Linked DNA regions of Ovis aries. Each later gene encodes a partner of the first gene's protein in a complex. Links are inferred from orthologs where the notes say so. Each region holds a gene or a part of one and is shown in the gene's direction. Other genes may lie near its edges. The genes, in order: EDN1, EDNRB and EDNRA.

Region 1 (2,397 bases):
CCAGCCTCCCTGGGGGCCCCTTTTAGCATATCCATGTATCACTTGAGTTGAAAAATCAGTTTTCAAAATCATGTGAGTCATGGTTTTGCATGGAAGTCCCCCACCTCCCAAGAGCTGTTAACTAAGTAGAGAGAAAAGGAAGAAAATATGAAACAGATACCAAAGCAGAAATGTCATAGTTTTGGCCAAAAAGCAAGGCTGCTGTGTCAAGAAGAAACTGAACTGTGTCCAGAGTTGACACGGAATGTCATTGACTTACAGAAAGTGATTTTCTCCCGGGTGGGTCCACACCCTCAGGGCCATTGATGGGCACGTGGTCCTGACTGTTACCACTTTTGACTCTAAATTTCACTACCAAATGCTGTGGCAGGCTCTCCTTCTGTCTTAATGGAAGGCGGTTGCCCCCAGAGAATGCAGCCTTTGGAGAGGATTAATTATGCTCATATCTTCTGTTTCTCTCTTTCCATAATAGGCACGTTGTTCCATATGGACTCGGAAGCCCTTCTAGGTCCAAGCGCTCCTTAAAGGACTTCTTTCCTACAAAGGCGACAGTCCACAGGAAGAGATGCCAGTGTGCTAGCCAGACAGACAAGAAATGTCAGAATTTTTGCCAAGCAGGAAAAGAGCTCAAGTGAGTAGAAACACCTTTGTTTTTGATCAGCTTTTTGGCCTCCTGACCTTCTTCCTCTCGTGATGCTCTCTTCTTGTTTTGAAGAAAGCAACAGAGACACTGAGAACAACCAGGGTTCCTGTTGCTGAAATGTCCTCCCTGTATTTTGGCAGGGACCAAGACTCCATGGAGAAAGCCTGGGACAACCGAAAGAGAGGAAAAGACTGTCCTAAGCTAGGAGAGAAGTGTCTTCAGCAGCAGCTCGTGGTCGGAAGGAAAACAAGAAGGTAAGACTCTTATAAACAGCTGGTCCCCTTCACCTATAAACAGTCTCCAGTCCTTCTTACCTCCGTGGGAAAAAGGCTTACAAGACAATATGAAGGGAAGGGAGGAAAGAGAAATCTCTGTGTTCTCTAAACTTAAAAGAGCCAAAGAATCCTTCTCAAAAGTTTTTTGATGTAATGGAAACTAACACCAAATAATAATAATTCCCAAGTTGGTTCAGAAACAGTGGTTTACATAATTCAGTGTGCTGCCCTTTGGCACACACACCACTCATCCAAACAAAAATCTGTTTAGGGACACCTCTGTCATTTGGTCACATCTAGTTTTTGCATCTCTGAGTCAATATATTTACAGCTTTCCCTGAGAAATTAAACATCATTTCAGGGAAATTTTATTTTTTTTTTAAATCATGTATAATCAACTTCTTCAAAAACATAGCAGTTATTCAAATGGCCAAAGGGAAACTAAAGTCATTAAGTAGGGTTGGTGAGAGTTAGAACATGTCATTTCTCAGGTTTATTTATTTACTTTTTTAATAGGGAAATGCATTCAATGGAGACTCAATTTCATTCTCAACAGCTTTCTTATTTTTTGATCAGTCATGAGCTGGGATCTGGATCAGTAACACCCCAGGGTTGCTCTGAGGGGCTCTGTAGTGATAAACCTTCCACAACCTAAGCATCTTGAAATTTACAAGCTGCGGGGAGGAGTCCTGCTTTCAGATCTGTCCTGTGGTCTATGATTCCCTGTCATGGTCAGAGGCACTTTTTCCTAGAAATCCAGTGGCAAGAAGTTCTAGGATCCAAGTGTTCTGAGCACAGGCCAGGAGGTCATGGACGACTTCTGAGTTGTTTACTACTGTCTGGGGCCAAGCTCAGCGCTTCCCATGTGACCTTGAAGTCTCCGTGTTTATGAACTCAGGCCACTAGTGCTCCTCCAGGCTTCCCTGGTAGCTCAGCTGGTAAAGAATCTGCCTGCCATGCAGGAGACCCGGGTTCGATTCCTGGGTTGGGAAGATCCCCTGGAGAAGGGATAGGCTACCCACTCTGTATTCTTGGGCTTCCCTGGTGGTTCAGCTGGTAAAGAATCCACCTGCAATGTGAGAGATCTGGGTTCAACTCCTGGGTCGGGAAGATCCCCTGGAGAAGGGCATGGCTACCCACTCCACTGTTCTTGCCTGGAGAATCCCCATGGACAGAGGAGCCTGGAGGGCTACAGTCCACAGGGTCGCAAAGAGTCGGACATGACTGAGCACAGCACAGTGCTTCTCCAGACGGCAATTTTATGTAAACCACCATTTCTGAACTGACTTGGAAATTATTATTTTTTTCTATTAGTTTCCATTACATCAACTATTAAATCAATGTTACTGTTCTTCCCACCCAAAGAAAACATTAAGCCTGCAAAAACGATAGTTTTTAATTGCCATAAGACATTTGCTTTGGGTCCTGCCTGTAGGCCTTCTTGTTTCGAATTCCTTTTCCCCTCGAAGCCCACTTCAA
Region 2 (3,652 bases), on another chromosome or scaffold:
AAGAATACTGGAGTGGGTTGCCACTCTCTTCTCCAGGGGATCTTTCCAACCCAGGGATAGAACCCAGGTCTCCTGCATTGCAGGCAGATTCTTTACCAGCTGAGCTACCAGGGAAGCCCAAAGAGGCATCTAGTCTAACTAAGAAACACTTTTCACCTATTTTTGACTAATCTTTATTTTGATTTGGCTGTTAACTGAGCATTGGAGACTTCATAAGAATATGAGAGGCATTTTCAGCACTACAGGCTCAATTTAAATTTAAAAAAAAAAAACTGGAATATAATTGTTTTACAATGTTGTGTTAGTGTCTGCTGTGCAATGAAGTAAATCAGTAATATGTATACATATATCCTCTCTCTTGAGCCTCCCTCCCACTGCCCCCCCCCCCCATGCCAGCCCTCTAGATCATCACAGAAGACTAATCTGAGCTCCTGGTGCTGTACAGCAGCGTCCCATTTTTGTAAGGAGAACTTAAGCAATTGGCCCTGCAATAGAAGAGACCTTGACCCTAAGCTCCTGTTCATGTGTAGCTAATTCTCCTGAATTGGCTGCCCTTTCATGATTGCCAGCCCACTCTCTTATTCCAGATATCTAACAAATGCAGGTGGTTTTCAGAGGAGTGCATGAGAAAAAGAACTGGAATTTGTTATTTTACTCCATAAGCTCATTCACCTCCACTAAGTAATAAATACAGTTCAAGAGCACCCTGTGAACATCTCCCTAACAGAGCTTTGTGTCTCCTCAATGCAGTTGCTCGCCAAGGACTGGCCCTTTGGGGTTGAGATGTGTAAGCTGGTGCCTTTCATTCAGAAGGCCTCCGTGGGCATCACTGTGCTGAGTCTATGTGCTCTGAGTATTGACAGGTAAGAGCATGTATCTAAGCAACATATATCCTGACCAAAATCCTAGTGGTTGCTACGTTACTTAGAAAGTAAACTGTAATTCAATAAAAACCAGGCTCTGCCAGCTTGGCAATTGATTCTGTTTTGTTCTTCAGATATCGAGCTGTTGCTTCTTGGAGTCGGATTAAAGGAATCGGGGTTCCAAAATGGACAGCAGTAGAAATTGTTTTAATTTGGGTGGTCTCCGTGGTTCTGGCTGTCCCTGAGGCCGTGGGTTTTGATATAATTACGAGTGATCACATAGGAAATAATCTGAGAATCTGCTTGCTCCATCCCACTCAGAAAACAGCATTTATGCAGGTAAATTTTACTTTTCTTTCCCTTTTCTGCTCTTGCCTCATAAATGTTTAGCTATTTTCCCCCAATCTCCTCTTCTTGGGAAATTATTGATTTATGACTGTCCTTGGCATAAATTAAAAGTGTAGGTCCCAGGACCTCAGGGTTAACAGCAGGACTAATGACCCATGCTGCAAGAAGCTAGGTCATTACTTCTCCAAGAATCCCCTGGTTCTCAGGAATACAGATAAGCCAAGTTGACATAAGAGAGTCGATTAGAATTTATAGCTTTCCTACTCAAATTCACATAAGAACTGGCAGCTACAACATATTTTGCATTAAGCAACACAGCAGTCATTGGAGGCAGTGTGTGGTTAAAAGGATGATCAAGTGGAAGTCACCCTGGTATGGATAGACTGGTAGAAATCTACGTGACTCCATGAATCTTGGTATGAATGACAAGCCTGTCCTGTCTCTAAAGGGAAAACTACCATTGCAAAGAACTCCATCTTGTCAATTTATTTAAGAGTGTTTAATTAGGAAATGGGGGAAAATAGCAATGCTGGTCATCAGAAAATAGACCGTAAGTGAAAAAGGCTCTTCCCAACAGAAAGGGTGAAGAGGAGTAACGCAAAAGGAGTGGGTCCAAATGTCACAAATAATTATTTTCTACTTTACACATAAGTTTATATAAGACTTTATGTATATGTGTATAGATCATGATAAACAAAAGACTAAAGAGGGGCTTTAATGGGAAACTGAAAATGAAAATGCTGTTTCCTTGTTTCTTATTAGTTACAATGGAAAAAGTACTGCATGGGTGTGCGCTAAGTCACAGTCATGTCCCAATCTTTGCGACCCCATGGATCTTACTCCACCAGGCACCTCTGTCCATGGAATTATCCAGGCAAGAATACTGGAGTGGGTTGCTGTGCTCTCCTCCAGGGGATTGTTCCGACCCAGGGATCGAACCCACATCACTTATGTCTCTTGTCTCAGGCGGGTTCCTTACCATAAGCACTACCTGGGAAGCCCAAAGTACTGCATAGATTCCATAACTTCTGTTCCAACAGAGACATATCTGGAACAACAATCTTTAAAAGGAAAAGGAAAAAAGAACAAGTAAGAGAGGAGTCATTTTATAAGCAATTTTGATTTTTAGTTGATAGTTTAGATGTATACATCCCTGAGCTAAATGATTACTATAGACCTCTTCCTACCTGCTTTCCCCAGAAACAAACTTGTTAAAAAGTGAGAAGTTCCCCCAAAACACTAAAATATCTTTACACATCCAGATGTGGTAAGGAATTCCTTTCACTTCTGTGAAGACAAAAATATTTGAGTTATCAAGTATTTAAAAATTTGCCCAATTGCTTACATTTTTATATATAATTATAGCACACTGCCTTAGAGAATTGAAACACCTTTTAGGAAAAGTTTGTTTCACTTAATTTAATTTTTTGTTCAGCAGACAAAAAATTCTGCATAGTGGTGTAAAGATTCTACTGAAAGATTCTACATAGTATTTATAAAATGGATCTACTTTAGGAGATTATTCCTTGATGAGCATTTTTAAATATTTGATATGTAAGAGTTTCTTACAGAGGAATATTAACTATAACATCCTTTCTTCCCCTTAGTTTTACAAGACAGCTAAAGACTGGTGGCTATTTAGTTTCTATTTCTGCCTGCCATTGGCCATCACTGCATTGTTTTATACCCTGATGACTTGTGAAATGTTGAGAAAGAAGAGTGGTATGCAAATTGCTTTAAATGATCACTTAAAACAGGTAAGGAAATAGAAATATTTGCTGACTCATGATTACAATTCCAATTATGAATATGAAAATTATTGTAGTGACAATAAACTGAAAGTATCATCTACTAGAGCATAATTGCTTTTTCTTAGTCTGATATTTTTAATATGTTCTGTGCTATCTACCTGGAGGTATCCTACATAATCTAAAGGAATGTAAAAAGAGCCATCACTTTTTTAGAGAAACCGTCTTTTATTGGAGTATAATTGCTTTGCAGTGCTATGTTAGTTTCTGCTGTGCAGTGAAGTGAATCAGCTGTATGTGTACATAGATCCCCCCCTCTTGGACCTCCCTCTCATCACCGCCCATCCCACTCAGCTAGGTCATCACAGAGCTGACCTCCCTGTGTCACACTGCAGGTCCCCACTATCCATTTACACATGGTAGTGTATTTAGGTCAAATCTCATCTCCCAGTTCATCCTACCCTCCTCTCCCCTGCTTGGTGTCCATACACCCTTTCTCTATGTCTGTGTCTCTATTCCTGCCCTGCAAGTAGGCTCATCTGTACCATTTTTCTAGATTGCACATGTAAGCCATTACTTTTTAAAGATGAATCTCTAGGATGAGAGGAAAGGCCGGCTAGTTAGGAGGTTTGAAATGGACATGTACACACAGCTATATTTAAAATGAATAACCAACAAGGACCTACTATATTA
Region 3 (4,094 bases), on another chromosome or scaffold:
GGAGATGGTAAAGGACAGGGGAGCCTGGTGTGCTGCAGTCCATGGGCTCACAAAGAGTCAAACATGACTGAGTGACTGAACAACAACAACTTCTTTATCCATTCATCTATTGATACATACTTGGGTTGCTTCCAAATTTTGGTGATTGTAAATAATGCACTGGGGTGCATGTATCTTTTTGAATTAGTGTTTTCAGTTTTCTTCAGAGATATACCTAGGAGTGGAATTGCTGGATCATATGGCAGCTCTATTTTTAGTTTTTCAAGAACTCTCCCTACTGTGTTCCACAGTGGCTGCACCAATTTACATGCCCATCAAGAGCATATAAGGGTTTCCTTTTCTAAGGAGTTTTTATTTCTTTTCCTCATCTGCCTCATCTCCTCTCCCATATTCCCATTTAAGATAAAACTGTTGAAACCCACCTTTGGCAGCATCTGCATCCTCCCTGATTGGATTTCGTGAGGAATCATAGGTTTCTCAGAGCCACACACTGGACCCCTCCACAGTCTCTTCAGGAGCTCCTATTTCACCCTGAGCCAGTAGTATATAGCCTTCACGGGACAACATAGACACAAAACGTCCTTGAAACAGTCAGCTGCTGTGCACACTGGCTCTTTGTTGTTGCTGTTCAGTTGCAAAGCTCTGTTGGACTCTGCCACCCATGGACTGCAGCACACCAGGCTTCCCTGTCCTTCACTATCTCTTGGAGTTTGCGCAAATTCATGTCCACTGAATGGGTGATGCAACCTAACCATCTCATCATCTGCCGCCCCCTTCTCCTTTTGCCTTCAATCTTTCCCAGCACTTTAACTTGCTATAAACTTAAGAGGGAGCTTAGAAGCAAGCAAAGGGGCAGGGAACGCAGAGCATAAACCGCTGGTTCCAGACCCTGACTCTCTGCAGCTGCTCCAAGCAGAAAAAATCTGCTTGCACTCACTGGGGAGGGAAAGGTTTCTCAGCAAGCCCTTCCGTAGTTCTGGGTCTTGTTTGTTAAACTACCCTCCTCCTCGACGACCGCCCCCTCATCACCACCACTTTCATTTCAGGAAGGAAATAGTTAAAAAGACTCCAGCCCTTCAGGGCCTGGGAGGGGGCGGCCGCCTAGTGCTTATAGTGGCTGCATCCCTGGAGGGCTGGAAGGCTGGGACTTTCTCGCCGCCCTTGAGTGGACTAGATCTGGGAGCTTTGCGAGGAGAAGTGGAGGACAGACGCGAGGCGCGTTCCTTCGGAGTTTTCTTTTTCTCGCGAACCCTCGCGCGCGCACACAGCCAGCCCTTTGGTCTGGCGATTGCGGACCAGAGGTGGAGAAGCTCCATCCCCCCAAGTGGCTGAAGCCTGGCGGCTCGGGGAGGACCTCCCCAGAGAAGCTGTGCCCAGGAAGTTTTCCGAAGCGGAGGCAACGGTGCAACCGGGGCCGCCGCCGCACCGGATCCCGGGACACTCGCTATTCACCCTCGCCGGTTCGGCTTCAACTCGCCCGGGCGCCGCACACGGACCGCGCAGCCGTCTGAGCCCGCGGAGCTCCACGGTCGGTGCCAACTCTTTACTCTCCGGGTCCCGAGTCGGGTGGGGGAGACGCTGGCGGGCCCCTGCGCAGGGAGGAGAGGTGACCTCCGACCGTTGTCGCCCGGCGCCGGCACCTCCTGCACCGGGGCTGGTATCACCTGCCCGCGGGGGCGCGTGGCTGCGCGGGCGCCTTCCTGGGCGGGTGCGCGCCCGCGAAAGTTTGGGGTTTGGGAAACTGATGCAAAGCCCCTCCGCCTTCCCGGGCGGGCGGCGTTTTCGTCAAAAGAAAACCTGGGTCTCCCTTTTCCAGGCGTGCGAGAACTTTGCGGACCATCACGCCCGTGTCGCTGGCTCCAAAGCCCGCCTGTGAAGTTTGCCCCGCAGCCCGCTGCTCCCGCACGCCCGGGACGTGCCAAGGGTAGCCAAGGGCACCGGGTGTGAGGGGCGGATGTGTTCGGGAAAGATGTTTTTGGAGAACCCCCAGGTCAGCTACTTTGGAAACCTGCCTGTGGGGGTCTGGGCGTTTTGATCTGTGTCCTCCTTTTAAAGGACACTTGTCGCCCTTCACGTGCGGTAAACGAGGGCCGTTCCCACATAATAATCAGCCTCTGTTTACGCCATCCTAATGGCGTTCTGGGTACTTGGCGGCAGAGGAGGTGGGCTGGGAGGCATATTAAAGACAGGCGTTGTCAGTCAAGAGAGTTACTAATTTCTTACTCAGTGAGCAAAACCCACCAAAGTGGGGGGAGGGGGGCGGGGCGGGAAACTTATTTAAAAGTTCCTAGTTTATCTGTTTTTTTTTTTTCTCTTGTAGATTATTTATGTTCCCTCGCCCCCACCCTCTGTTTTGTGTTAACTAATTGAGAAATACCCTGGCAATCATTTCATGTAAATTACCTGCTCTAAACTCATGCCATGTGGGTAAGGTTGGAATTTCCAAATCACGAATTTGATGAACTTTGATCTGGAGAGTCCCCAGATGTGAAAAGGTTTAAGCATCAGGATAGAGTCCTCTTGCTTCATAATAGCTTTTGAACTCCAGCAAATCCTTAGACCCCAAATATGAAGAATGCTTAATCTGTAAACCAGGTTCCTCAGGTCTGAACCTGAGAGGCTTCACTAGAGCTATGACTGATGATGAGTGATGATCTGAAGCCAGCGTGACTTAGATCCATGGAGATGAGCTAAGACTCATCCTTGGAGGAACATGCAGTTCAGAGGGTTTTTTCCCTTTGGTTTTGTGTCTTTCAGCCAATGATGATATGGCAGTCACATGCCTTTGCCAAGTATACCTTAGCTCTGCAGCTTCATGTGTGAACAGACAAGGCTGAGCGAGATGACTTCAGAAATGGTGGTGTCACTGTTGGAGGAGGGAGACAAGTGGTTTTTATGGGAGCCAGCTCACACTATGATAACAACCCACAGTTTGATAAGACTCCTCAACTCTTGCGGTAATCAGCTCACCAAGCGAACTGAAGTGCTGATGTTCAAACAGTAGTGCTGCTTTTGTGAACCACCTAGCCAGGTCTGTTCACAAAATATCCTCCTAGCAGACTATGATGGGCACAGAGCCATTCCATTTCTGAGAAAGGCCTTCTTGTCTCTTACTTTGAAGAAAACTCATTAAGGTTCATTCCCATTGGGAAACTGGAAGGCATTAATCACTTAAATAGCATAAGATATTGAAGAATTTCCTTTTTTCATCTCTGATCTGAAGAGGAGGGTGACGATATGCTTTATTCTTGGAGCGGTGTGGGGTGGAGTCCTGATCACCACTGTGTAACTGAAATAGCGGCGTTTCATAGGTCTATCAATATTTTGTCAGATACTCCAAACTGTAAGCAAGGGAAAAAAGAAAAACAAAACTGCATACTATTTGACTTGGTCAAAAAGTTCATTTTGTACCAGCTTTTTCCATAAGCTGGTACAAAAAACCCAAATGAACTTTTTGGCCAATCCAATACTTGCAATTGTCTAGGCAGAACCATGTGCCCAGTATGCTTGTAGCTTAGAAAAATTGATATTTGAATCATTTAATCAGACTGAATCAAGTCCTATGATTAATTAGACTGAAGGGTTATACTTGGCCTACCACTTCTTGGTCACAAAAACGTAACTTCTTCAAGGCTGTTTCCTCTTGATATTCTCCCTGCCTACCTAGAGCTGTAAAGCTCAAGTCAGATAACAAATAGGTGTAAAATAGATTACCATAGCACGTAAACTTTTTTTGGCCTCGTGGTATAGTTGCCTGACCAGGATTGGAACCCATGCTCCCTGCAGTGAAAGCACAGGGTCTTAACCACTGGACCACCAGGGAAATCCCAAACTAATTCAGGTTCCTGGGGAAAAAATCTCTGGGGAAGGCAGAAGTATACAGTATTGCACCTTACATTTGCTTTAGACCTGTACACCTTGCATAAATCTCATTTCTTCATGTATTAACTATGCCCTGAGCTTTATTAATCACCAAGATAACTGTCAAACTCCTAAACATGGTTGATATCAACCGTGGATAGACTCAAAAGGACACAATTCTTAAATTGTGACCTGGGTGTGTTCATCCTATACATACACTACATCACAAATGA

What was found.
Region 2: the proteins of EDN1 (region 1) and EDNRB are in contact, whole or in part, in a cryo-EM structure (PDB 8XWP), measured with the Homo sapiens proteins. The link is inferred for Ovis aries from reciprocal best matches to the Homo sapiens genes EDN1 and EDNRB. Residues at the interface, in NP_001403492.1 of Homo sapiens: Cys53, Ser54, Cys55, Ser56, Ser57, Leu58, Glu62, Cys63, Val64, Tyr65, Phe66, Cys67, His68, Leu69, Asp70, Ile71, Ile72, Trp73; in NP_000106.1 of Homo sapiens: Pro88, Pro89, Ile94, Glu95, Ile157, Asn158, Lys161, Glu165, Asp166, Trp167, Val177, Pro178, Gln181, Lys182, Val185, Phe240, Ile243, Met245, Tyr247, Leu252, Ile254, Leu256, Leu257, His258, Pro259, Lys270, Lys273, Leu277, Trp336, Leu339.
Region 3: the proteins of EDN1 (region 1) and EDNRA are in contact, whole or in part, in a cryo-EM structure (PDB 8HCQ), measured with the Homo sapiens proteins. The link is inferred for Ovis aries from reciprocal best matches to the Homo sapiens genes EDN1 and EDNRA. Residues at the interface, in NP_001403492.1 of Homo sapiens: Cys53, Ser54, Leu58, Asp60, Lys61, Glu62, Cys63, Val64, Tyr65, Phe66, Cys67, His68, Leu69, Asp70, Ile71, Ile72, Trp73; in NP_001948.1 of Homo sapiens: Tyr68, Gln72, Thr73, Lys74, Tyr129, Asp133, Ile136, Asn137, Lys140, Leu141, Gly144, Arg145, Trp146, Gln165, Lys166, Val169, Glu220, Phe224, Val227, Phe229, Tyr231, His236, Lys237, Thr238, Cys239, Met240, Leu241, Asn242, Gln252, Lys255.

Annotation. Positions count from the first base shown.
Region 1 is NC_056073.1:43,365,878-43,368,274, reverse strand, and holds part of EDN1 (endothelin-1), read left to right. Parts: intron 1-472; coding exon 473-631; intron 632-783; coding exon 784-897; intron 898-2,397. UniProt on the Homo sapiens protein: Endothelins are endothelium-derived vasoconstrictor peptides. Probable ligand for G-protein coupled receptors EDNRA and EDNRB which activates PTK2B, BCAR1, BCAR3 and, GTPases RAP1 and RHOA cascade in glomerular mesangial cells.
Region 2 is NC_056063.1:53,628,097-53,631,748, reverse strand, and holds part of EDNRB (endothelin receptor type B), read left to right. Parts: intron 1-750; coding exon 751-863; intron 864-997; coding exon 998-1,202; intron 1,203-2,818; coding exon 2,819-2,968; intron 2,969-3,652. UniProt on the Homo sapiens protein: Non-specific receptor for endothelin 1, 2, and 3. Mediates its action by association with G proteins that activate a phosphatidylinositol-calcium second messenger system.
Region 3 is NC_056070.1:10,804,000-10,808,093, reverse strand, and holds the start of EDNRA (endothelin-1 receptor), read left to right. Parts: upstream 1-1,172; 5' UTR 1,173-1,528; intron 1,529-2,757; 5' UTR 2,758-3,031; intron 3,032-4,094. UniProt on the Homo sapiens protein: Receptor for endothelin-1. Mediates its action by association with G proteins that activate a phosphatidylinositol-calcium second messenger system. The rank order of binding affinities for ET-A is: ET1 > ET2 >> ET3.